7 linked regions of the Danio rerio genome follow. The protein of the gene in region 6 purifies or fractionates together with the protein of the main gene of each other region. This does not show direct contact. Links are inferred from orthologs where the notes say so. Each region holds a gene or a part of one and is shown on either strand. Other genes may lie near its edges. The genes, in order: chchd2, igf2bp3, ago2, ilf2, mrpl3, ybx1 and usp10.

Evidence for each region.
Region 1: the proteins of ybx1 (region 6) and chchd2 purify together in Homo sapiens (affinity purification with mass spectrometry; 3 studies listed by BioGRID and IntAct, with this or other methods). This does not show direct contact. The link is inferred for Danio rerio from reciprocal best matches to the Homo sapiens genes YBX1 and CHCHD2.
Region 2: the proteins of ybx1 (region 6) and igf2bp3 purify together in Homo sapiens (affinity purification with mass spectrometry; 3 studies listed by BioGRID and IntAct, with this or other methods). This does not show direct contact. The link is inferred for Danio rerio from reciprocal best matches to the Homo sapiens genes YBX1 and IGF2BP3.
Region 3: the proteins of ybx1 (region 6) and ago2 purify together in Homo sapiens (co-immunoprecipitation; 4 studies listed by BioGRID and IntAct, with this or other methods). This does not show direct contact. The link is inferred for Danio rerio from reciprocal best matches to the Homo sapiens genes YBX1 and AGO2.
Region 4: the proteins of ybx1 (region 6) and ilf2 fractionate together in Homo sapiens (co-fractionation; 4 studies listed by BioGRID and IntAct, with this or other methods). This does not show direct contact. The link is inferred for Danio rerio from reciprocal best matches to the Homo sapiens genes YBX1 and ILF2.
Region 5: the proteins of ybx1 (region 6) and mrpl3 purify together in Homo sapiens (affinity purification with mass spectrometry; 3 studies listed by BioGRID and IntAct, with this or other methods). This does not show direct contact. The link is inferred for Danio rerio from reciprocal best matches to the Homo sapiens genes YBX1 and MRPL3.
Region 7: the proteins of ybx1 (region 6) and usp10 purify together in Homo sapiens (co-immunoprecipitation; 3 studies listed by BioGRID and IntAct, with this or other methods). This does not show direct contact. The link is inferred for Danio rerio from reciprocal best matches to the Homo sapiens genes YBX1 and USP10.

What each region holds. Positions count from the first base shown.
Region 1 is NC_133190.1:6,038,359-6,040,842, forward strand, and holds part of chchd2 (coiled-coil-helix-coiled-coil-helix domain-containing protein 2), read right to left. Parts: coding exon 2,253-2,484; intron 599-2,252; coding exon 409-598; intron 1-408. UniProt on the Homo sapiens protein: Transcription factor. Binds to the oxygen responsive element of COX4I2 and activates its transcription under hypoxia conditions (4% oxygen), as well as normoxia conditions (20% oxygen).
Region 2 is NC_133194.1:22,624,807-22,628,306, forward strand, and holds part of igf2bp3 (insulin-like growth factor 2 mRNA-binding protein 3), read left to right. Parts: intron 1-837; coding exon 838-972; intron 973-1,074; coding exon 1,075-1,197; intron 1,198-3,500. UniProt on the Homo sapiens protein: RNA-binding factor that may recruit target transcripts to cytoplasmic protein-RNA complexes (mRNPs). This transcript 'caging' into mRNPs allows mRNA transport and transient storage.
Region 3 is NC_133194.1:44,207,482-44,210,981, reverse strand, and holds part of ago2 (protein argonaute-2), read right to left. Parts: intron 2,194-3,500; coding exon 2,057-2,193; intron 1,981-2,056; coding exon 1,846-1,980; intron 1,759-1,845; coding exon 1,671-1,758; intron 103-1,670; coding exon 1-102.
Region 4 is NC_133194.1:40,099,865-40,103,914, reverse strand, and holds the start of ilf2 (interleukin enhancer-binding factor 2 homolog), read left to right. Parts: upstream 1-1,250; 5' UTR 1,251-1,340; coding exon 1,341-1,345; intron 1,346-1,811; coding exon 1,812-1,871; intron 1,872-1,962; coding exon 1,963-2,005; intron 2,006-2,092; coding exon 2,093-2,197; intron 2,198-3,386; coding exon 3,387-3,464; intron 3,465-3,574; coding exon 3,575-3,677; intron 3,678-3,766; coding exon 3,767-3,832; intron 3,833-3,933; coding exon 3,934-4,050. UniProt on the Homo sapiens protein: Chromatin-interacting protein that forms a stable heterodimer with interleukin enhancer-binding factor 3/ILF3 and plays a role in several biological processes including transcription, innate immunity or cell growth.
Region 5 is NC_133194.1:21,458,606-21,462,105, reverse strand, and holds part of mrpl3 (large ribosomal subunit protein uL3m), read right to left. Parts: intron 3,415-3,500; coding exon 3,316-3,414; intron 2,600-3,315; coding exon 2,500-2,599; intron 1,470-2,499; coding exon 1,409-1,469; intron 1-1,408.
Region 6 is NC_133183.1:56,874,186-56,877,064, forward strand, and holds part of ybx1 (Y-box-binding protein 1), read right to left. Parts: intron 1,270-2,879; coding exon 949-1,269; intron 861-948; coding exon 775-860; intron 1-774. UniProt on the Homo sapiens protein: DNA- and RNA-binding protein involved in various processes, such as translational repression, RNA stabilization, mRNA splicing, DNA repair and transcription regulation.
Region 7 is NC_133182.1:74,677,648-74,681,837, reverse strand, and holds the start of usp10 (ubiquitin carboxyl-terminal hydrolase 10), read left to right. Parts: upstream 1-1,390; 5' UTR 1,391-1,634; coding exon 1,635-1,655; intron 1,656-4,190. UniProt on the Homo sapiens protein: Hydrolase that can remove conjugated ubiquitin from target proteins such as p53/TP53, RPS2/us5, RPS3/us3, RPS10/eS10, BECN1, SNX3 and CFTR.

The sequences.
Region 1 (2,484 bases), on a different chromosome or scaffold from region 6:
CGAATTTGCTTGAAATAACGCAAAAACAAGCAATTTACACTTTTTAGTGAAATATAGGTGTCCTAATAGTGTTTTAGCAGTGTGGGACACATATACGACTGTCAACAGCTCAAAAAATGTGTTTTGGTGTTTCGTGACCCTAAATGTATGTGACCCTAAATGTATGTGCGGCAGGTTTTGTTTGTTTGTTGTGTAAAAAAAAAAAAAAAAAATTGAAAAGCTATTTTGTAATGTATGTTTCATATCTAATATGTTCAATAAAAATACTTTTGGAAAAAAAAATAATAATGTTGCTACAAATCCACTACATAATTTATATAAAGCTGCAACAAGGGGACAACTTTATAACCCATAAATAAGAAAAAATAAGGGCAACTTTTCACATGTTAACGAGTTCACAGTACGAACCATTGGAGAATCTGCACTGTTTGAGCACTTCGCTGAATCCCTCGCAGAGTTTGAGGTCGCTCTGAGACTGAGCGCACTCGATGAACTGCTTCATCTCATATGAACATGGGTTCTGCTGCTGCGGATCCTGCTGGTACATGGGCTGCTGTTGCTGCTGTGGCGGGTACATGGCCTGACCCTGGTACGGCTCCTAAGAGACCATCAAGGATGAAGAAGTTTAGGTGTTTCCAAGAATTCATCACTGCCTTGTTTAAAAACTCCTACAATTATTTAGCTAGCCCAACTAGACGAAATATTGAGATAATTACTAATAGAATACAATAATAATTGTAAAAATTGTTGAGCAATGTATATTTCATTATATCTTAAATTTCTGGAAGTTTTAGGGTTGGAATTTATTATAGGTAACACTGTTGCTCAGTGGTTGGTACTGTTGCCTCACAGCAAGAAGAACACTGGTTTAAGTCCTGTCTGGGCCAGTTGGCATTTCTATGTGGAGTTTGCATGTTCTCCCCGTGTTGGCATGGGTTTCCTCTGAGTGTTCCGGTTTCCCCCACAGTCCAAAGACAAGTGCTGTAGGTGAAATTAATAAACTAAATTAGCTGTAGTGTATGTGTGTGTGAATGTATGGGTGTTTCCCAGTACTGGGTTGCAGCTGGAAGGGCATCCGCTGCGTAAAACATATGCCGGAATAGATGTCGGTTCATTCCGCTGTGGTGACCCCTGATAAATAAGGGAGTAAGCCGAAGGAAAATTAATGAATGAATTGATTATTGTATTCTTTAAAGGAAAACTGCTAAAATTACTTAGCAAGTCTAACTAGAAAAATTAAAAACTAGTTCAATAATTACTAAAAAAACTGATGTAAACTCTGTTGTAAAGTTGTCAAATTGTCTTGAATTTCTAAAGGTTTTAGTGTTCGGTTGATTTCATTATTCGTTTTTAGAATTTTTTTTATAAAATTCGCTAAAATGATTTAGCAAGTCCAACTAGACAAAAGTGTTTAAATATTTATTAAACAGATATAAATTCTTGTATATAAATAGCGGTCTTGTATATTTACATTTATTTATAAATTTCTATATTTATCTATACATTTCTTAAATTTCTAGAAGTTTTAGCCTTTAATTTAATTCATTATTGCGTTTCCTTTAATTCCTAATATGATATAGAATGTCCAACTAGACACAAATATTTTAATTACTGATAAACTGACATAAACTCAAAATTTCTAAATTGTCTTGAAATTCTATAAATATTATAACTAGATTTTCTAGAAGTTTTAGGGTTTGGTTAAATGTATTATTGTGTAATTTGAAAGAAAATTTTCTAATATTATTTAGCGAGTCCAACTAGACAAAAAATACTATAATAATTACTAATAAACAGATAAAAGTTGGCGGTTCATTCCGCTGTGGCGACCCCGGATTTATAAAGGGACTAAGCCGACAAGAAAATGAATGAATGAATGTTTGCTTATTTATTTGCTGCTAATGTTAACTATTTTTTCCTTTTGTATATAATAATATTAAACATATTACTGACCATTTAACTGTTTATTTACAATGAAACACCTCCAGGAGAACATATTTAGTAATTTGGGAATTCTTTTTGCGGGGGATCCCTTATTATGGTGGGAAATTTCCTTATTTTCACATCCCAATGTTGACAGGTATGCGAGTACTCTATTGTCAGTAGTCATTACCTATTGAGGTTAAAGTTATTTTGTCCAAAATAAAAATTTTATGTCATTCTAATGCTCTGAGACCTTCATTCATCTTCAGAACACTTTTTATAAAATAAAAATAAATGTAAAATGAATGCACCCGTGCCATAACGTTTACCTGATAGGTCACATCGGGCCTAGCAGCTTCAGAATGTCCCCCTCCGCCAAAGCCACCGGTCATGGCGTGACCTATTGTGTGTCCGACAGCAGAGCCGACAGCAACGCCTGCAGCAGTGGAGGCCATCTGAGCGAACATTCCCGGCTGACGGGGAGCAGCAGCAGCAGGAGGAGCCACCGCTGAAGGTGGAGGAGGAGCCGGAGCGGGTGCGTAAGACCGCGGAGGAGCTGCT
Region 2 (3,500 bases), on a different chromosome or scaffold from region 6:
CAAAACACAACAAACTACTGAAAAGAAAAGGCAGTTTTGATGATTTAATGTACAAAAATAGCCAAGTATATTAAAAGTAGCCAACTTTATTTTATTTAAAATTATTTTTGTTGTTGACAGTTTTAACAGTTTGATCAGTCTTTTTTTTTGTTCTTTTAAATTGCAGTTCATAAGCGTTTAGCCTGATTTAACTTATCATTTTTCAAATTTCTGAAGTGTTTGTGTCTATATAGTGTAATGTTTAAATTCTATCAAATATTTAAAAAATATTTAAATGTATATTTTTCAATGTTTTCTAATCTCACCCTTTACTAGCAAATGCTGCATTTATCTGAAAGAAAAAATGCAGTAAAAACATGAATTGTGTGAAGTTCTTACAATTGTAAATTTCTTATTTCTATTGAAATTTTTGAAGTGTAATTTTGTTTCTTTTTTGACAGCCTGTAATTATGGTAGCTGAAAATGGCTTTATCATATCATCGCATTCACTAGAACTATGTTAAGCTGCTTTGACACAATCTTAATTGTTAAAGCTTTAAACTGAATTAAACTGAATTCAACAGTCATTTAGAAACCATTTATTATTAACAATTTAAATTTATAAGAACAGTTTCTTTTTTTAAAGTGACCAAGTTGAACATTTTTTTTACTGCTACTTTTTAATTTTTTTTTATTCTTATTGATTTATTGCATCTTTGCATGAAGGATTGCCTTCAAAGAAAACTCAAAAACCGAAAATTACAGTTACTTTTTTCGCCTGAATTTCATCAACAGAAATGTCTTAGTATAAGGAACCTCCAGTTGGTTAACACACTGATTTCTAATGTGTGTGCACAGGATTGACATTCATCGTAAGGAGAACGCAGGAGCAGCAGAGAAGCCAATCACTGTTCACTCAACACCAGAGGGCTGCAGTTCTGCCTGTCGAAACATCATGGAGATCATGCAGAAAGAGGCAATCGACACAAAGATGTACGTTAATGCATGTGCCCACTGTATAAAATGGTTTTCTGTCTGTCATACTAAAGTTAGTCTTGTGCGTTTAATCACACCATATACACCTTTCTCTCATAGCACTGAAGAAATTCCCCTTAAAATTTTGGCTCATAACAATTTCGTTGGCCGCCTCATTGGAAAAGAGGGACGCAACTTGAAGAAAATCGAACAAGATACTGACACCAAGATCACAATCTCACCGTAAGTAGTTTTCATCTTTGCGTTCTTTCATGTTGGTTTTCTTTGTTCGTCACTGCTGGATTCTGTTTCCCAGCATGCAGCATGTCATGAATAAATCATCTGCACTGGGTTGAATTTTAATTATTATATAGACTTCCCAAGATGGCGCATATTGAACAGAGATTAGACTTGATCTGCACGAGTGACTCTGAAACTGCATTGCATTTGGAAGGGATCTTCCCAATGTCCTATAGCTTTCAGAGGATTTACCATCCTGAGTGATCACTTCGAATGTATTAGGAAATAGAGATGAGTCCTTCCGAATACAATGCAATGTGCAACTCCAAATAACATTCCTGTTCAAAGGATCATGGGGGACCAAATCCTTCATTCTGAAGTGCTTTTCTGTTTTGAGTAGTTTGATTTGGAACAACACTTCAAAATGGATACCATGATTGTTATGGTGGTCATCTATCCCATTTGGAATGCACCATTGTTACTTGTCCAGTTAGCTTATTCATTCTGCCCAGTTCTGTTTGTCCTCTATGTTGGTCAATGCTAATTGCGAAGGAAAACCGATGACAATTAAGATTTGGACTGCTTTCTTAGTTGGTAGTTTGACATTTAAATGTGAGGGAATTGGGGTTTAATTATTTAGCAGTGGTTTTAAGTGAAGTATCATAACATATTCAGGTCAGTTTTGACCTGAAAGAGAAGCAAATTATGTAATCTCAAATGTTTTTTAGTCAGGGAATTGAAGTTGCAAGAATTTTAGTATGGTGAAATACACACTCTCAGACTTTGATTCAGAGGTAGAACAGTTTAAAGAAACCTAGGTGTTAAAGAAACGATTTGAGTCAAGTCTTCATGAAATCAAAATGTGCTATGTTTATTTTGCTAGCTCACCATTATTATACTTAAGGTGAATAATTATTCAGCGCAAGTTAATCCACTGAAGAAAAAAAAAGTTTGTTTTGATCATCTTCAAAGAAGTTTGGTGTGGTGGTCTTTTTGTTGACGCCAACCTGAGGGCTTCTATAGCAATTGCATATTGATACCCTCTCTTGTCGTTAGTTTGCTAAAAGGAAATGATGCGCAAAAGAAGCCCAGCTGTATACAGGGTTCGCACAAGGTGCTTAGAGGGTTTGAAATTGGCTTTTACAAATTTAAGTTCCGGAAAACCTGAAAAATTGTCTTGTTTTGTTGAAAAGTGCTTAAATTAACAAGAAGATTTTGTATGCAATTTTCACGCCAAAAAAGTTAATGTTTGTGAACGTTTGTGACTATTTAATGCAAAAATTCTCCATGCAAACCACTGTGATTCTGAAGCGGAGATTTGACTGATTTGAAAAGTGACCACTTACAGTCGGCCTTGTCTAGTTTTTACGTGAAAGTTAAGGGTGGGACAAAGGCTAAGTTTCACATTTGTTTGTATACGTTTTTATTTCAGTCATTGCAACACAAAGGCCTATCAGAACTTTTAATAAAGGTGAAACTTTAATTTATTTGCTATTAAAGAATTATGCTAGTTAAGTTTCAGAATGAAGTATTTGTACGATTTATACATAATAGCTGTCTTTTGGTCTGTTATTTCTAAATACCTTAAGTCATTTTTTTAATTTTTTTATTGACTGTCAGTCTGTTTGGCTTTTTTGTAGAATTATTTAAGGTTAAAATCAAGTGTAAAATAAAATTTCCATTTTCTGTCAAGCAACAAATTTTCCAACATTTAAAGACAAACAAAAATGAGCAAAGAAGGAAAATAGTGTAAAAAATGGCTAAATTTTGGTATTTTCATAATTATACTATATAATTATGGTAGTTTTGCCACTGGTTTTGAAAAAGATTAGTTGAAAGGAAAAATTTGCCACACATTGTTAGTGCAAATTCCTATATATGTGGTTTTGTGATTTTTAACAATTAAATGTAGTGTATGTGTATTTATATAGCACATTTTATTGTGTATGGCCATACACCCAAAACGCTTTACAATCATGATTGCGATCTCTCCACACCACCACCCATGTGCAGCATCAGCTTGGATGATGAGATGGCACCCACGGGACAACGGCGCCAGTGCGCTCACTACACACCAGCTATAGGGGGATAGAAAGACAGTGATAGAGCCAATTCGGTGGATGGGAATGATTAGGTAGGCCATGATCCTTAGGGCCGATGGAGGGATTTTGGCCAGGATTCCGGGGTTACACCCCTACTCTTTACGGGACGTGGCATGGGATTTTTAATGACCACGGAAAGATTAATGTCTCATCAGAAAGACTGCGCCCACTGACAATGTAGTGTCCCCTTCACTTTTACTGGCG
Region 3 (3,500 bases), on a different chromosome or scaffold from region 6:
CATGGGAGATGTGGGTATCGAAGCACCAGTTTGTACTTATCCTTGAAGTACTGGGCGACAGTGCATTCAATGGTCTGACCATTCTCTTGCTGCAAAGGAAACCTAGAGACAAACAAAATACATTTTAAAGACATCAGCTTCAAAATAATGAATCTTTCAATGAGAAATATTAAATGTGATGACAAAAAATAGAATACACTATACAAAACGCATGGTTCCACACAATTCAACCATGTGGTCTCAACACAAATCCGTCAAGTTTAATGCATTAAATTTGTCCTGCTTTTTTTAGTGTTTTTTCAGCTTATATTAAATAAGCAGTTTGAACAAGAAGCAAAAATATTTTTTGGGTGTACAGAGGTCCCTCTTTATTTGCGGGAGTTGCATTCTAAAAATAACTCTCAACAGGCGAAATCCTTGTAGTCAGCTTTATTATTTTTTGTACAATTATTATAGATGCTTTAAGGCTGTAAAATCCCTTACTACACATTTTTCTCAGACAGGAATTAGCATTTTCACTCTTTTCTCTTGTTTAAACACTCTCAAAGTAAAAAAAAAAAAAAAAAAGTCCAGAAAAATAAGTTCAGTGTTATAGAATAAAACCAAAGATCAAAACCTGCTGTCAGACGCAAACATTCATCACTGTTAGCAAAACGTTTATAAAGCTTTTTAGCTTTTGTGCGGATAATGTTGGCATCCAGTGTAATGTTCTTTTTCGTGCAGTCACTGATTCAAAAAACTTAAGCAGACTCCATTCTTAAGGGGATTGCACACCGGATGCGCCTCGCACATGACAGTTGGAAGTAACGCACACAGTACACGCACATTTGCATGTTACTTAAAATTAAATTATTCAGACGGCGCTCTGTGCCACGGCAAAAATATGAACAGTCCCGAGTCATATCTGGGCGACGCTGGGAGCTTGAGAAACCTATATAAACCCTGATAGAAACCTATATTTACAATTCTAAAATGCAAGGCGCTGTGGGGCATCCTTGTTAAAACTCACACTGATAGCGATCAAAGATTTATGTTAATTTGTCAAGCTGAATGCATTCTGTACGGTACAGGAGACATGAAGGAGATTGATTGACAATGGTCTACAGCCAATCAGGACGCATAAAAAAAAAAAGTCAAATTGCACAAAAGAAAATAAAAAATCTGCGAAAATGTGAGGCCACGATAGCTGAACCACGTTACAGTGAGGGGCCATGGTACTGAGATTAAAACCATGTTAAGACACTGGTGTTTAGATGTCCAGAAATAGTGTAAAATAAGCCAGTATTTCTAAATAAAACTTTTCCAAACATTTTATACATGCATTTAATTCCCCTTGATCTACATTAAATCCTTTAAACTGACCAGTATTGGAGTTTAAAAAAGGAATATAAAATGCATTTAAAAAAAAAATGAAAATAGTCAAAAAAAAAAACTTAAGTATAAAAATTGTTTAGAAATGTTTAAAATATGGCATGTGGGAAATGTGCTACACCCCAAATCTATGTGTGTGCATGTGTTGCTTGCTTGATATAAATTTAATTGATTGCTTAAGCTGCTTTGGGATATAAATCAGAGAACTTTTCATACAATTGAAATACAATTTTGAATAAGTATGTTGTCCTAAAAATTCTTTACTACAGCAAGTTAGAAATTGTGTCGTCAAATCTTACGTTTGATGGCTGGCTGGTCTTCTCGTCACATTACACACTCTGTACTTCCTCTTCATTTGTCCACAGTGAGTAATTTCAACCTTCAAACCTGTAAAATGAATGCAAAATTCACATTATCCCAAAATAAACTCCATAAAAGCCGTTGTAAATGTCAATGACCACTGTAAGAAATTACCCTTGATCTCCTTGGTAAACTTCACTCTTTGGGAATCTGTTAAGGGCTTTTGCTGCTCTTCGATGCTTTTAAAATCCAAAACCTCACACATGAATTCAATGACGGGTTGAGCTTTGTAGAACGCAGTGGCAGACACTAAAAACGATTATACAGAGAAATCATTAGCAAAGTGCAAAATCAAGTCCAACGAATACGGTCAGTGCAATCTTACCATCAATGTTGAGCATCATCTTCCAGAGTGATGGCCGAACAGACTGATGAAAACCAAACCAAACTTCTCTTCCTCCACCAAGAGGGTTAGAGCAGCCCTCCGATGGAGTGAAGAATGAACGTCCGACTGGGGTGTACCTGTAGAAACAGCAATAATACTTAAAACACCACAACAGCATTGTGGATGATGATCTCCCAAAATGGAGATATTAGATTAGATTAGATTCAACTTTATTGTCATTACACATGTACAAGTACAATGCAACGAAATGCAGTTTAGGTCTAACCAGCAGTGCAATAGCAGCAAGTGCAGGATACAGGAATAAGTTATAAAGTGCAGTTATAGAAAACTATGGTGATATTTACAGATGGAATGGATGTACTATGAACATTATATACAGGTTGGATAAGCTATGAACAGATTTACAATATATGAATATATGTGCAGGTTGCTATTAATAATCAGTAGTGTGCAGATAGATAAACATGATTACAAGTGTATATGTTACAATATATGAATATATGTGCAGGTTGCTATTAATAATCAGTAGTGTGCAGATAAATAAACTTGATTACAAGTGTATATGTTACAATATATGAATATATGTACAGGGATAGATAAACATGATCACAAGTGTATATGTAACAATATATGAATATATGTGCAGGTTGCTATTAATAATCAGTAGTATGCAGATAAATAAGCATGATTACAAGTGTATATGTATAGTGGGTGTGTACATAATTACAAATGCCCATATGCAGTGGGTATGTACAGTTCAATAAGTAAACAGTTATGTAGAATAAGTCAGTGCACACTTACTCAGATTTAAGTTGCTAAATGAAAAAAATATATCATGGAGTAGGGTTGCACTATATATCACAAAATTATGGTTATTGCGATAATAGGATATGCAATACAAGTAATCGCACAATTTTATGCAGTGGTGATTTATCTAAATTTGACCATTCAGATGGGACCTTACTATCTTTATCTCCACCTCCACAGTAGTTGCTGTTCATCTATTGTCTGGAGTGGCCCAAAGGTAAACTCAGAGGTAAAAATAAATGGCCAGTTTTCACTTAGTGGTACGGTAGGGTGCGGTGCGCTTTTATGGCCATTTTCACTGTCGAAAAGGTACCAAAAAGCGAACCGTACTGTACAAATTTTTGGGTACCCTAGGGTACTTAGCAAAAAAAAAAGGGTACCAAAAGGCGGAGCCAGATGCACAGCTGAATGTCTTGATAAGCCACAAAGCCAAAAAGAACAAAATCTGCCGTGTCCTGTTGTTGTTTTACGAGGTTGTTTAAAAGCTCGAGCGGTTTCACTTTCTCTAGAGAGCTTGCGATCCTCGCATGCGCGTTTATATTTGAATTAACGAACTTCTTGAGCTGATGATAACAACATGCGTGTGATTACTGAAGTGCTTCTGACATCAGATTCT
Region 4 (4,050 bases), on a different chromosome or scaffold from region 6:
TATACATATAATCCAAAAACCTGCCTGGACACCTACCTAAGACATTTCACAAGAAACTGATAATATTCATATTAGATTATTACAAATATTCTTACCTTCTGTCTTATCACTGCATTTAGTTCTGTAGATGGATGTGTTGTGATGATGGAGGCATATTGCTGTAATAACAGTGGAGGTGACTGAACATTTAAAAAACAACCCTTATCTTACTTCAGCACATGCATTACATCTACGTAATTTGCGCAAAACTGCACAGCTTTGGATTTCCTGCGTTTGATTGGCTGTGGAATGTAACACAACTTCTGTCTGGTGTTCTCTGATAAAGGCAGTGTGAGGACTGTACAGGTCCACCCCTGACATGTCAAGTCTCCCCTGCAAGATGCATTTGAAGTGATTATTTATGGAAATAATATTTGTTGTTGTTGTTTTAATCCCTAAAGGTTTTAAATATATAAGACATAAAAGGGTGAAATAATACAGACCAAACTGTCTTCTCTTGTTTATTTAAATTTCTAATAGGGTTCCATAGCTAGGGTCGAACAATGTGGACCTGTTAGTGATGTGCTTGTTTGTTTGTGTATTATTTATTTCAAATGAAGTAAATTATCTGTGTTTGTATATTTCTAATCTTTACAAAACTATAGCTATCTTCAGCAAAGTATAACCATGTGACAGCAGCAGTCTAGATAGAGGTTAAGTTGGTTTTATATACGGAAATTCAGATATTCTCATTAATAATATAATTTCAGAAAGTATTCTTTGCAAATTCCAAATAGGGAAATCATATTAGCAGCAAATGACTATCAAAGTACAACATGGTTCACAGTGAATTAGATACTAATAATGTTGTTTAGAAGTCATGCTTGCATGCTAATTCAGATCGAACATTCAAAGTAACATAGTAAACTATGGTAATCTATCTAGAATGTTGTGATTTAATCCTTACAAAATTTTATGTATGCTATATGCTACTTGTTTGAGCTTATCCAAACAATAGAATGTTTTAAAAGCGAGTAGTTGTCATCCATACATTGTAATGCATAAAAATAGTATTTTAAATAATTTCATAGTTGACTTAAAGACAATAAAGCTGAATGTTAGATAGTTTCTCTTTCTGCTACTGTTATTTCCTCCCTAAATAAACTCGAAAAACCTTAATTCAACTGAGACTTTTACTATTGTGTGGGCTGCTATTTCGGGCTTTTATTCTAGGTGGTTATGCTGGATTTATGAAGTTACTTCCGTTTTCTGAAGCTAGCTACTCGGCGGCTATCTGCAGGCGGAGGCAGAGCTCTTCTCACCAGCGTGTGTCCTGTTAAACTGACAAAACGTCTTACGCAATGAGGTACGAACTGATTTATCATTTATAGTTAAACAATCTTTTTGATTAGGTTATAAACCGAATTATAGCAAAATACTGTATGTTGTGATATTTTATACATTTTTTTCAAAGATGCTAAGCTAACATGTTAGCATGTTCTGCTAGCCCCTTTGTCGGTTTTTAATCAATACAGTAACTAAATAAACACTTTTATTAGTAAAGTTTTTCCGGTTATAGTCATAATTCTGGATTTTCTATACATATTGTGTTATTTGCAAAACGATGTGTTCCTGAAAAAAAAACCGAGAGCGTTTATGAATGAATGAACGCCGTGCTTTTATTCGAACAATACTGCTATCTAATTTGTGATATTTATTTTTTTATTTGGGTTTTAAATTAAACTTTAAAAAATCCAATTTTGGGTTATCGCTGGACATCATTATTTATTTATTTGTATTGCACTTGCTGAAATTACGTTTTTATTTCTCAGAGGAGATCGTGGCAGGGGCCGAGGTGGCCGGTTCGGCTCCCGCGGAGGTTTGGTCCAAGGGTAAGATTTCATGACCATATTGTTTTGACCCCCTTACTTAAATTTGGTTATATTGTAATAATTTTGTAACCTGTGACTTCTCTTGTCTCAGGTATCGGCCCTTTGTCCCTCACATACCATTTGACTTCTATGTTGTAAGTACATTTATTGCTTTTCTGATTTGTGGGGAGGAAAAACAGCCTTTTTAAGCCCAGAGCTCATGACAACTTGCTTTTGTACAGTGTGAGATGGCCTTTCCTCGAGTGAAGCCGGCCTCTGATGAGACTGCTTTCAGTGAATGTCTGTTGAAGAGGAACCAAGACCTCAGTCCAACCCCCTCTGAACAGGTATGGTCATAAACTATTATGAAAACTGCACACTCCATGACTTCTGCCCTTTCATGCTAAAGGGATAGTTCACCCAAAAATGAATGTCGTTGACATTTACACTCGTTCAACTTGTTCCAAGCCTGTTTGAATTTCTTAATTTGGTTGAACACACCAAAAAATGCTGGTTTCCCATATTCTTAAGAATATCTTGTTTTGTGTTTAACAGAAGAAATTCGTTAACGTTTAGTACCCCTTGAGTGGGAGTAAATTATGGAATTGTAATATATATATATATATATATATATATATATATATATATATATATATGAGCAATTCCATGAAAATGTCAACCTTGCCATGAAAAGAAAAATGTTTTTCACCAAAATAGCGAAACCGTTCCTACATTTTTTGCGCAGGCAAGTGTTTTACAGTACTTTAAAAATACTTAAAAATGTCTCTGTCAATGTTTTCAAACTAATTTATTTGATTTACCAAAGTCAAACAAATGGCAATTTCACATCCGTCACATCCATAACGAAAAAGTGTCACATCCATAGCAAAGATTTTCCCTCAAAAATGCAAAAATGTCAAAATAAAATAAAATAAATCAGTTTTGTTCTATAAAGAGCCAACTCTTATCCTTTTGTTGAGAATTATTTATTTTAGGTTGTGCAGTTTAATTCACAGATTTTTTTTAACGAAATAAGTTGTATACTGTAAACTCGCAGACTTTTTTTGTCACATCCATAACACTTGTTTATTTTCCTCATTTAAAGTATAAAAATGTTCACAGATTGAATTTTTTTGATCCCAGAACTCTGTGGTTAGTTGTTTTGGAAAATATAAACGGATGATTCAATATAATGTTAAAATATACTTTCTCTGCAAATTTATGTTTTGAATTTTTACTGCAAATGTCACATCCATAACGCTGGAATCAGCCCTATATATATATATATATATATATATATATATATATATATATATATATATATATATATATATATATATATATATATATTATATATATCCGATAAGGTCTCAACATCCTCTATTAATTTTTAAAGATTGTGAGCTGTTACACATTTGGTTTTGACCTAGAATAGATGCATAAAATGTGATATTGTATTAGGAGTGCAAAAGCAAACCAATTTTTGATTGCATTATTAACAAATTACAGCAAATTTTTTCTTCATTTTTGTCACAGGCTTCCATTTTGTCCTTGGTCACCAAAATTAACAACGTCATTGATAACCTAATTGTGGCACCTGGAAACTTTGAAGTGGTAAGATATTTCAGTAAAACATTATTATTATTATTATTAATGCCTTTCAAAATATTTTATGTATATGTTTTTAGACTTATTTAATGAAAGTTTGATAATCCCTTTTTCAGCAAATTGAGGAAGTAAGACAAGTGGGCTCCTATAAAAAGGGCACCATGACTGCAGGACACAATGTTGCTGACCTTGTGGTTATCCTGAAGATTCTGCCCACCTGTAAGTCTTGAGATTTCTATGAGGCCAACATGTTGCTCCTAGCCCAAGTGTACTTGGTTTATCAGTAATGTTTACGTGTTCTTGTTCAGTGGAAGCTGTTGCCGCCTTGGGAAACAAAGTTGTTGAGACCCTGCGAACCCAGGACCCTTCTGAGGGTGAGTATAGGCTTTAATCTGGCAGACCTGTAGTTTCAGGGAGGGAAAAAAAATCCGACTTGCTTGCCATTCTCACTGATGCATTTTCCTCTTCTCCCCAGTGTTGTCCATGCTGACAAACGAGACTGGATTTGAGATCAGCTCTGCCGATGCCACAGTAAAAATCCTCATCACCACTGTCCCACCCAATCTGCGCAAACTGGACCCAGAGCTTCATT
Region 5 (3,500 bases), on a different chromosome or scaffold from region 6:
TGGCTAAAAAGTATCGGTTCAGGCACCGAAAAAAAAAGGACTGGGTGTGTTTATATCACCCCAATATGACAATCGATTCACTATACCTACGTATATGCCAGTCCAAACAGCTCGAAAAATAGTTTTTTCACCATAGATGCCTTTAAATTGCTATAAAATTACTACAAATAATAGGCATAAAAATTATAAATCTGTCCCAACCAATTGTATTATCCAAATAGCATAAGAATAGCAGAAAGCAGTTTATTTACCTTAAGTGACTTTACTGGCAATTGTTCTTTCTTTCTTTTTTTTTTTTTACTTCAACTAAGAGAAGAAAAGTATGTGCATATTCACATTTACTTTAACAAGTTTAATTCAACTAGCAGTACAATTTTACAAACTTCGATAGTTTTTATGCAAATCCTAATAAGCAAATGAGGAAAATCTATTAAATGAGACCATTTGAATCAAATACTAACATATTTGTTACACCACCAGCATAACATAAGAAAAGAAGAATTGTTTGTACAACAAAATACGCAAACAACCCTTGAATATTTACAACTATAGCGCTTAGGTAAAATTACAGCACTTATGGACATATATTTTAACGTTTAAATTAGCCACAGAATTAAAATACATGTGTGTTACTCTCAACTGTTCACAGAGAAAAAGAAAGTAAAACCAATCTGAATGCAGTATTTTAAATGTTGACTAGATGGCCGGTCAAAACCACAAGTGGCTAGAGTAAACAACAATGATAGGGGTTCAAAAATATATGTTTTGGCGGGTCGAATCTCCTTATATCTTTTATGTCAGTTGCAGTCGTAAATGGCCCGCGGGCTGGCAGTTTAAGATTCTCCCCCCATTTACATCTGTAGTAAGTTGTCTTTGGTCTGGTCAAAAATGTTACATTTGAGCAGTTTGGTTCCATTTCACAACAGACCGACTGTTCACAACCAGTTGGAATGAATTAAAAAGCAGTCACAAGACAACATCCATATGAGTCGTTGGCTATTTCCTGAACTGCATTTTAATTGGTCAGAATTAACGGGTGGAAAACTCGCATACACAACACACAAAAATAAACAAAGAGCAGAGGAAATTTGCAGACCTTCCATAGTTGTGGTCAAGTAACTAAGTTCTTCAGAGTTCATTTGAAAGCATACAGAGAGCACCTCTTTAAGCAGGTCTCAGTACACTTGTTTGTGGACTACTTTTAGTGCACACCCGAGTATGATTTCCACTTTCCCACCTGGCCAAACAAACTGCATCAAAAAGGTGCATGAACTCTGGTACTTTTTAACTGAACTCAAAGAGGCAGTTGTAAGAGCAAAACACCCATAATTATTAGCTTATAAAATCAATGATACTACTATCAAAATAGAAATACAAAGATTCATAGACGCATTTGTATTGGACTCACGTTTTGGCTGTGACATCCACATATTGTCCTGGACGGAAGTGAGCTGCGTAAAGAGGAGTGCCTAGACAAAGAAAACCAAAACTTAAGTCAAAGCAGAAAAAAAACAAATTGACCAAAAAAAAAAATCTGAAACAAAATCAACAAATAATAATAAACAAATACACAAGGGAAAAATAATCAAAAACGTGTAAAAGTTAAAAAAATTTAATCAGGAGTGTTGTTTTTGCTTTATAAGTCAACTTGTGAAGTCATTTTCGGTGAAATATGTAACAAAAAAAGTAAAAGTAACTCAAATAATATTACTTATTTTTAAAAGTTATGCGTTATATTACTTGTTATTTTGCAAAAGTAATATTATTACGTAACGTGAGTTAGTTATAACAGGTTACCCCCAACAATGGTAATGACAAAAAGTATACAAGAAAATTACTAAATGTTAAACTTAAAAAAAAGAAGAAAAAAAATAAAGTAAACAAAACAACAAAATGCACAATCAAACAGACATTGTAAAGGCTGAGTTACACTTCTGCGTCAAGTGATCACCACCGTGACCCACGGCACATCTTGCGTGAGGTCATGCATTTATATTTCTGCACGCTGTTTGTGTTGCTCTGCAATAACACTTCCAATATGCTAGCTGGCAGTAGGTTTTTATGCTCCTCTATGTTGACTTTCTTTGCTGGTGTTTTGTTTTTTCTGAAGGCTACCTTAAAGTACAAGAAGCTAAAACTCGCTAATTCACAGGCGGGAACCTGCAAACGTGCAACATTATTTATGTTCAAGGGGTATGCGACTGCGCAAAGGCTGCGCCAGACCATACGTATGCGCTTCACGCAGAAGTATAAATTAGCCTTAGGGCGTGTTTACTGAAATTCAAAATTAAAACTAAATTGATTTTAATCTGTTACAGATTATATATCTGTTATAGTTAAGTTAAAATTATTAGCTTTTATTTTATTTTTATTTTTTCAAATTTTGTTTAACAGAGCAAGGAAATTTTCACAGTATTTCATTTGATATTTTTTTTTTTTCTGGAGTTTGCTTTATTTTGGCTAGAATACACACACACAAACACTGACAGGTGAGAATACCTGGTTTGATTATAGCATTGTCTGTAACACAAAAGGTGGTGAGTTTCTGCTTGGGTGGAATTCCTGCATTCTGGAAAATCTCCAAATATCCCACCGGCCTCTGAAAAAAAAAAAAATTAAATAATAGCTTGACCGAGTTACTGCAAGAGATTTTCTAACTTATCTTTAAAAAGCATAGAAAGGGTGAAGAAAAAGAGAATACATTAAACCCAAACTGCTCTGCTGTGTTTTGGGAGTTGATTGACTGACTGAAGGCTCGGACTGAAGGTCAGGACAATTGACAATTACACTTCAAGCAGCACTTTGTGGCAGCTGTCAAATACAGACAGATGACACACACACTAGCTTATTGCCAAAAATGGGGGAAAATGACACTGACAAAAGTTATTTTTTTATAGCAAACTCTACTGAACTGTTGAAGGGGTTTAAAAAATCCGTCAGAATCTGTCCATCACTGTTAGTCTTTCTTTTCTACCACCAACAGTTCCACCATTACAGAAAGTCAATCGAGGAGTTCCAGAAGAATGCACTTAAAAAAGCTGTACAGGAGACAAGTTGTCTAGGTTTCACATAATCATTTTCCGTAACATGCACATACACACAAAAAGGTCACCTCTACATCTACTGAGAGCCCTCTAATTTCTTTTCAGGTTTTATTATAATCCCTCTCATCCACAGAAGCAGAACAGCTCTAGTCTATTATCCTGTTCCACCTCAGAGAGGTCAAGGATTGGCAGAAAGGTGAAGAGACAGAGGTTCGTTAGGAGCATGTGGACAAGAGCAGTCTTACTGAAAAACGTTCAAGACATGTCTTACGTGAAAAGGAGAGACATTCTTTCCACCAACGACCAGAGCTGATGTGTGCCCATTATAATCTTCCTTGGACAGATGTTTGACTACATGACAGTCCTTCACCTGAAAGACAGATTTGGGTGTGTTAAATTCAAATTCCAACTGCATTTACAGTTTCCCAGTTGCATACATACAAAACATAACTCCAA
Region 6 (2,879 bases):
CCACAGATTTAGCTAAAAAGGAGAAGAAAAATTAAGTCATCTACATCTTAGACGTAGGCCTGTCACAATATCTATTTTTTTGTTAAACAACATTTTGAACCAAAATGTATAGTGATAAACAATATTATTGTCATTTTAAAAGCCTTTTATTAAATAATGCCAGAATGACAATATATTAACCACAAAACAAATACACTTCCAAAGAACACAATTTATTCTTAAGATTGTTTAATTGCCATTTTAACTATTTAATAATCAGGCACTGGAATCAAAAAGTGTGAAACGCATATTGTAAACAATAAAATGTTAACAAAAAATTTAAATAGAATAAAAGTGCAAGGTAATAAGTAACAAAGTCTGTGATATGTTAGCAGATCTATTTTCAGCTGTCAGTCATCCACATAAAAATATACTCTAGGAATTACTACAATGTTTAGAACCATAAAGAGGCTGCTCAGTTAAAACGTTGCTAGAACTGATTATGTATGGGCGATATATACTGCATCACCAAAAATGATCGAGGTCAAGTCCATGTGTTGTGCAGTAAGTCTATATATTGATCGTGACAGGCCTACTTCAATGACCCAAGAGTAATTTATCAGGAAACTTGTAATTTGGGGTGGATCATTCTATTAAAAAAATAAATAAATAGAATTGCTAAATTAATACTTAATTAAAACAATAGAAAAAGAAAACTTAAATAATGAAAATCATGAATATCTGAAAGATCTCCAAAGTCCAGCAGCAGTATTGTTCCTCTTATGACATACAAACCTTGGTCGGAAGCCTCTGTAGTAGTTCTGCCTCATTGGTTTGTTGCCCTGGTCTGGACCCCCTTGGTTCTCTTCACCTTCACCACCCTAAAATTCAAGAAAAGCATCCATCAGTCAAAAAAGCAGCTTCCAATTTAATTTACTGACTGATGCTCAGGCATCACCAAAAGCATACCTCTGTCATCTCTCCTCTTTGTGAGTTGGTGTAGGGGGGGCGTCTGCCGTAACGCCTCCGCACGAAGTATGGTGGGTAGCGCCGTCTGCCGGGGTAAGTGGGTCTGCGCTGCTGCTGCTGCATCTCCCCCTCGGGGGCGCTCTCTGCCCCCTCTCTCTTCTCCCGGGGCTCTGCCTCAGGGTCGCTCTGATAGTTCTCCTGGTAGTCGCGAGGTGGGGCCCTCCTGCGTGGGTACCGCCTGTAACGGTTCCTGTCAGCTGCATACTTACTACCCTGCACAGGAACGCCACCCGGGCCGGTAACATTTGCTGCCTCAGCCCCCTGACAGAATGAAGACAATGCAGATCAAGTGTCCGCTAATTTAATAGATGGGCTGTTGCTTTAGATAATGGATGCAGAATTTTCCAGTAAGTCATTCAGAGTCTGGCCAGAAATATGATGCTTAATCAATATCGGCTTCAAAGCATTTTTATTTAGGATACGCAGAGAATTATTTTAGTAGTTCTGATGACATAACCTCTCTGATTTTGAATTTCAGCTTATCATTTTTATTAATGGCTTTGTTAGTTTTAGTTTGGCTTTTAATTTGCTGTCAACATTTTCATTTTGTTCTTACACATTTAGTTTCAGTTTTGGCAATTCTCACACACCTAGAGTTAAGCAAATGTTTTCACCGCTTTTTTTTTTTTTTTGGACTTGAACAGAAACACCATATAAATTCAACTTAAAAAAATTAGCAAAATCATAAACTGTTGTTTGGCATGAAAGTGAGAAACATCATATTAAAAGTATCAACATGTATAGTTAACAAATTTTGGCAGATAACAAAAACTGATACGTTTTAGTTTTTTGGTACATCATGCACTTGACAACCAACAGGTATCACCAAACATGAAGACCTCATCGCCACCAAGTCTGAACCAATAACATTGGCGACATTAAATAGATTCACTAAATATTGACTGTAAGAAACTAGTCCTAAACTAAAACATCATTCATATACTTTAACAATGTTAATCCAGAAGATGTCACCTATAGAACAGTGTGCTGCCTTCATTACTGCAGTAAACAAAGCAGTGTGACATCAAATACAGCAGGACTATCAACTTCATAAACTACACAGCATCACAACATTTAAAACTTTAGTATACAACTATAATCAAACAACCCTATACTCAAACATGATGCAAAAGTTAAATTGAAACAATACTTTAAGGCCCTTAAAGTCTTAAACGCAAAGTTAATAATTTAGAGAAATTCAAGACCTCACGGACACAATTGATTAGCTCTGAAAACTATTATTTTTGCTAATTAATATTTTCAGTTTTGGTTCATTTTTCAGTGACTTATTAGTTTTATTTAGTTTTATTTTCATTTATTGTGAAAAATTTATTTCAGTTCAGCTTTAGTCTTTGTTGACAACAGAGTTCTTTCAGTAAACAAACAGAGTATAAAACTAACAAAGCAGTTTAAATAAAAGAATTGTGAAGTGCTCTAGTAAACGTCTCCAATAAAAGGCTTGAGTGAACATTTAGGAAATGGCGACTGACAAAGTGTTATAATATAGAAATAAACACTCTGCTTACACGGTCAAGCAGCGTCTAGTGAAGTTTCCACATATTCAAGAGTCAAGATATTCAGCCACCCCTATCGAAAAGTCAATTAAAGTCAAGGCAGGGGTGTCAAACTCCATACAGGACTGCAACCCACCAGGAACTGTTTAGTTTTAACCCTGCTTCAACACACTTGCATGTATGTATTAAACAAGCTTGAAGGACTCAGTTCTATCATGTGTGTTTAATTAGCGTTGGAACTAAACTGAGCAGAGCTGCGGCCCTCCAGGATTGAGTTTGACATCTGTGTTATGATTTTGTGCTGTTTAATGCATTTTAATTTAAAGCCCAAAGCTTGACTAGTACTACATAAAAGCA
Region 7 (4,190 bases), on a different chromosome or scaffold from region 6:
CCAGTTTTTTGCTTCTCTTAATTTTTCCTTTTTATTTTATTTATAATTAACATTTTTCTATAACATAAATTTGGCTGTACTAGTTTTTGGACCATTATCGTAAGTTATTTTGTTAGATAAGCTCCATTTTTGGTTTCAGTACTGACCAATCTAATGTATATGCACAAATATATTGTATAGCTTCTTATTAAAAATATGCATTTAAAAGATAGATTTGTGAGGGGTGTACTTATATACGCTGCTGAACATGGTATATGTAAAAATCTTGGTAGCTTGTACCAATTAACTTTCATAGTAGGATAAATACTATTCTAAAATACTATGGGAGTCAATAAGTACAAGCTAACAGAGTTTATTTTAAAAATATCTTTTGTGTTCAACAGAGGAAAGAAAGTCAAACAGGTTTGGAAGAAGTGAAGGGTGAATAAGTGACGGAAGAATTTCCTGTTTTGGTTGAACTTGGTACTTGTTTATCTACTGTTTCCTTTTTTATTTTATTGCTACGATATATAAAACTTAATTAGAAAATGATATTATTAAGTAATATTTATTAAATATTTATTAAATATTAATGATATTAATATATATTAATATATTAATGATATTAATATATATTAATATATTAATGATATTAAATATTTATTAAATATTAATGATATTAATGATATTAATGATAATTAATATTAATGATATTATTAAGTAATATTTATTAAATATTAAATATGCTCAGCATCCTAGTGCAAGTTTGAATTTGCACGTCATTTTGGCGCGCCCACCCTCCCGGCAGAACGTCAACGCACGCACACGAGCCCGTTGAAGCCTGATTTATACTTCTGCGTCAAACACCGGCGTATGCTACGGCGCTGACGCATAGCCCTTCGCCGTGGCCATCGCCGTCACTGACGTGCACCTCTCAAAAAATGTAACTACACGTCGCAACGACGCGTAGCATAAGCTCTGTGATTGGTCGGCTTGGTAGCGCTGACGAGTCTGGGCGGGACCGAGAGGCGCGCGAATGGCGCGACGCCGCGCGAGCGATTGTTTACAAGTGTGGAGTCCCGTGAAGGAGCTCCGGATGGAAAGTTTTGTTTTGTGTTTACCTCATAGTTAAAGTTGTTGCACGTCCGCCGGTTCCTGCCTCAAAATGAGCGAGTTTGAGCCACTTGTACATCCCGGAAGTGTTCAGGAAATGCAAAAAAGTAGCGAAGAAACTTGACACAGAGGAACATTTACACCTCACTGCCAACTAGCGTTTCGGAAGTGTTAATGCAGACCGGCAGAGACAGCGCGCAGAAGTATAAATGCACAGCCACGCGCGTTGCCTGCGCCGTGGGTTACGCCGGTCACCTGACGCAGAAGTATAAATCAGGCTTGAGAAGGGAGCGCGCGCGAGCGCCACTGGCAGCACACAGGCGCGAGATAAAGATGGCGGCGACGGTGGGGGAAACGGCGTGATATGCTGGAGTAGTGGCACTAAACCTGAGTAAAACCACTGTATGACAAACCATAGCAAAATGGAGACCATGTCACAGTAGGTGTTTACTGGTAATACCAAGTACTACAAACTCACCTTACCCCCCTACCCCCCCGAGAGAACATTCATCTTGTGATTGTGGAGAAATCTCACCGGGAGCATGGCTTCGCAAAGTAACCAGGTACGGAAACCGTTTTGAAGCTTTCATTTACAGTTTAATATCGTAGAGATTGTTTGTTTTGCTTTGTGCTGTACTTTCTGTTGGACTGTGCGTGCGAGCTCATTGAATCGGCAGCATGGCTGCAGGCCCACAGCCTTCACGCGCTTATTCAAAACCACTAGCATTCCGTCTGCTAGCTCACATTCAGGCGGCCATTATAATAAAGGTTTACGGGTGATTTACAGCTGTCATGAGGCTGTGTGTGTGGCATAGCGCTGAGTGTGTGTTTTTCGGCCATGAGTTTGTGTTTGGCCCTCCCGCTCACGCTGCTGCAGCGGCCTGGCCACGCGCGCGTGCTCGGTTAATAACGGTCATTAGCAGGCGGACGCGATCTTGCACTGAACACACCGCGTTTCGGCGACATTTCTGTCGGATACCGCCTGTGTGGCACACTCCACCGAATACAGTAAGAAAGTGTTAAGTGTTTCCGCGGAGTGTCTTCAGTTCAAGCAAGTTGAAATAGAGTCGTGTCGTGCTGCTAATGTAGTGAAATAGGCCTGTTGATTGGGGGCGGTATCGCTTCCTGTCTTCAATCCCATTCAAACTCTTGCGTTTGACTTTTACGTTTGTTTCTTGATCACATCGCATCCATTATATTTCTAGTGACAGCTCGTCACCACCAGGCTGTGTTTTTAGTGTCTTTAGACTGGTTTTGAAGTCAGCTAACTTTGAACGAGGCGCCGTGGTGAAGATGCTACATCATTGTAGCTCTGACTGCTAGCCACATGCTGAACTGTAGCGTCTCCACTGTGCTGTCAGTAAACGTGAAGTCTTGAATAATCAAATGCATCCCGATCGCGTTTAATGCGATGCATAGGGCTGGTATTTGTATTTATTAATGACGTGTGATATTTAAATGTGCTACTTTCATAAAGTTGGACGGCTTTTAGCACTGTTGCATTGATGCCATATGGCTGAAATGTGGTTAGTGTATTAAATGTGTAAAGTTATGGGTCATTCTGCTTAATAAAAGGTCTCTGACTGTAGGCAGTTTAGACACATAAAGCACAAGGTCCTGTCAAAGTAAGTTGCACATGTCATTTATGCATGTAAACTTTGAATTGTGTGACGTGCATTTGTCACCTTGCGTTGTTTTTAATAATACCTGTTTATTAGTACTACAGTTTTGTTAGGATTGTTGTAAGTAATTATTCTGGCAATGCTGATTGACATGGAACAACACCTTATGGAAAGTGTTTAGTTTTGACAGCATCTGAACACCGGTGCCTCAGCGTCATTTATTTCTTTACTCATTAAATTTTGATTATTAGACAGAACTGTTGATGTAAACAGCATTTACTTTATGATTAAAAAGGCAAACACTTCAATATTTTCACATATGTAGTAAATACACATTTGTATCTTTTGAATACTTTTAATAACTATTAAACACTTAATGATGCAACTACTTTTTTTGCATGCAACTTGGATCTTCTGTAGATTTTTTTTTTTATTGAATTTTTTTATGCATTCGTTTCCTGCATAAACACATTGGATTGGGACAGGAGATGTAGTGTTTTAATGTTTAATGTATACAAAATTTGAATGACCCTGTCTATTTAAGACTCCCAGTGTGCTCAAAAATAAAGTATAATAAAGGATAGGCATGGGCCGGTATAAACTTGGGTAAAAATATCACAGGTTCACGGTATCTCACTATTGCGATTGCTGCTCTCAAATGAGTTCTTTTTTTTAAATGTCTTGGTAAAAAACAACACTTTTCCACAATGACAATGATTTTAAGAATCATTTTGGAGCAGTAAACATGTATGGCTAAGTAATTAAAACAAATCATTGACGTTTGCTCTATTTGTTAGTTTCTAAAACACAGATTTCTTAAGGCATCTTTAAAAAAAGGCATAAAAGGCATCTCTTGATATATTTTCTGCTGTAGATACTGTTCTAAAAACATTAAAAAAAAAACCTTACATGTGTCGTAGGAACAGTATAACAGAGTTTTTGTGGTATTAAAACTTTAACTTTTCCAAACCACGGTATACCTTGAAAACGGTTATCGTCCCATGCGTAATTAGAGGTAGTAATGGGCCAGTGTAAGATTCTGACAGTATGATAACCTTAAAAAATATATTGGGGTTTCACAATATTGTGATGTATTTCTTTCCCCTTTGAACACAATTTAGTTAATCTTGAGAAACATTTAAAATATTTTGGAGCAGTAAACACGTCAGGCTAAATCATTTAAGTGAATCATTGACTTGTGCTGTCTTTTGTTTCAAAAACACAGAGTTCTTGACAATTTAAAACGGCATCTTTGGAGATCTTTTCTGTCGGATATACTGTTAAAAACAAAAGTCTGGAGTAAAAAAAATCCTACATATTCCATAGGAACAGTATAGCAGAAAATGTTGGCGATTTTTAAAACCTTGACTTTTCTTTACTGCGGTATACTTTTGAAAAACGATTATTGTCCCATGCCTAAAAGATTTGATTGTTTTTAAAAAAAAATGCTAATGCATTTATTCTCTTGTTTATTTC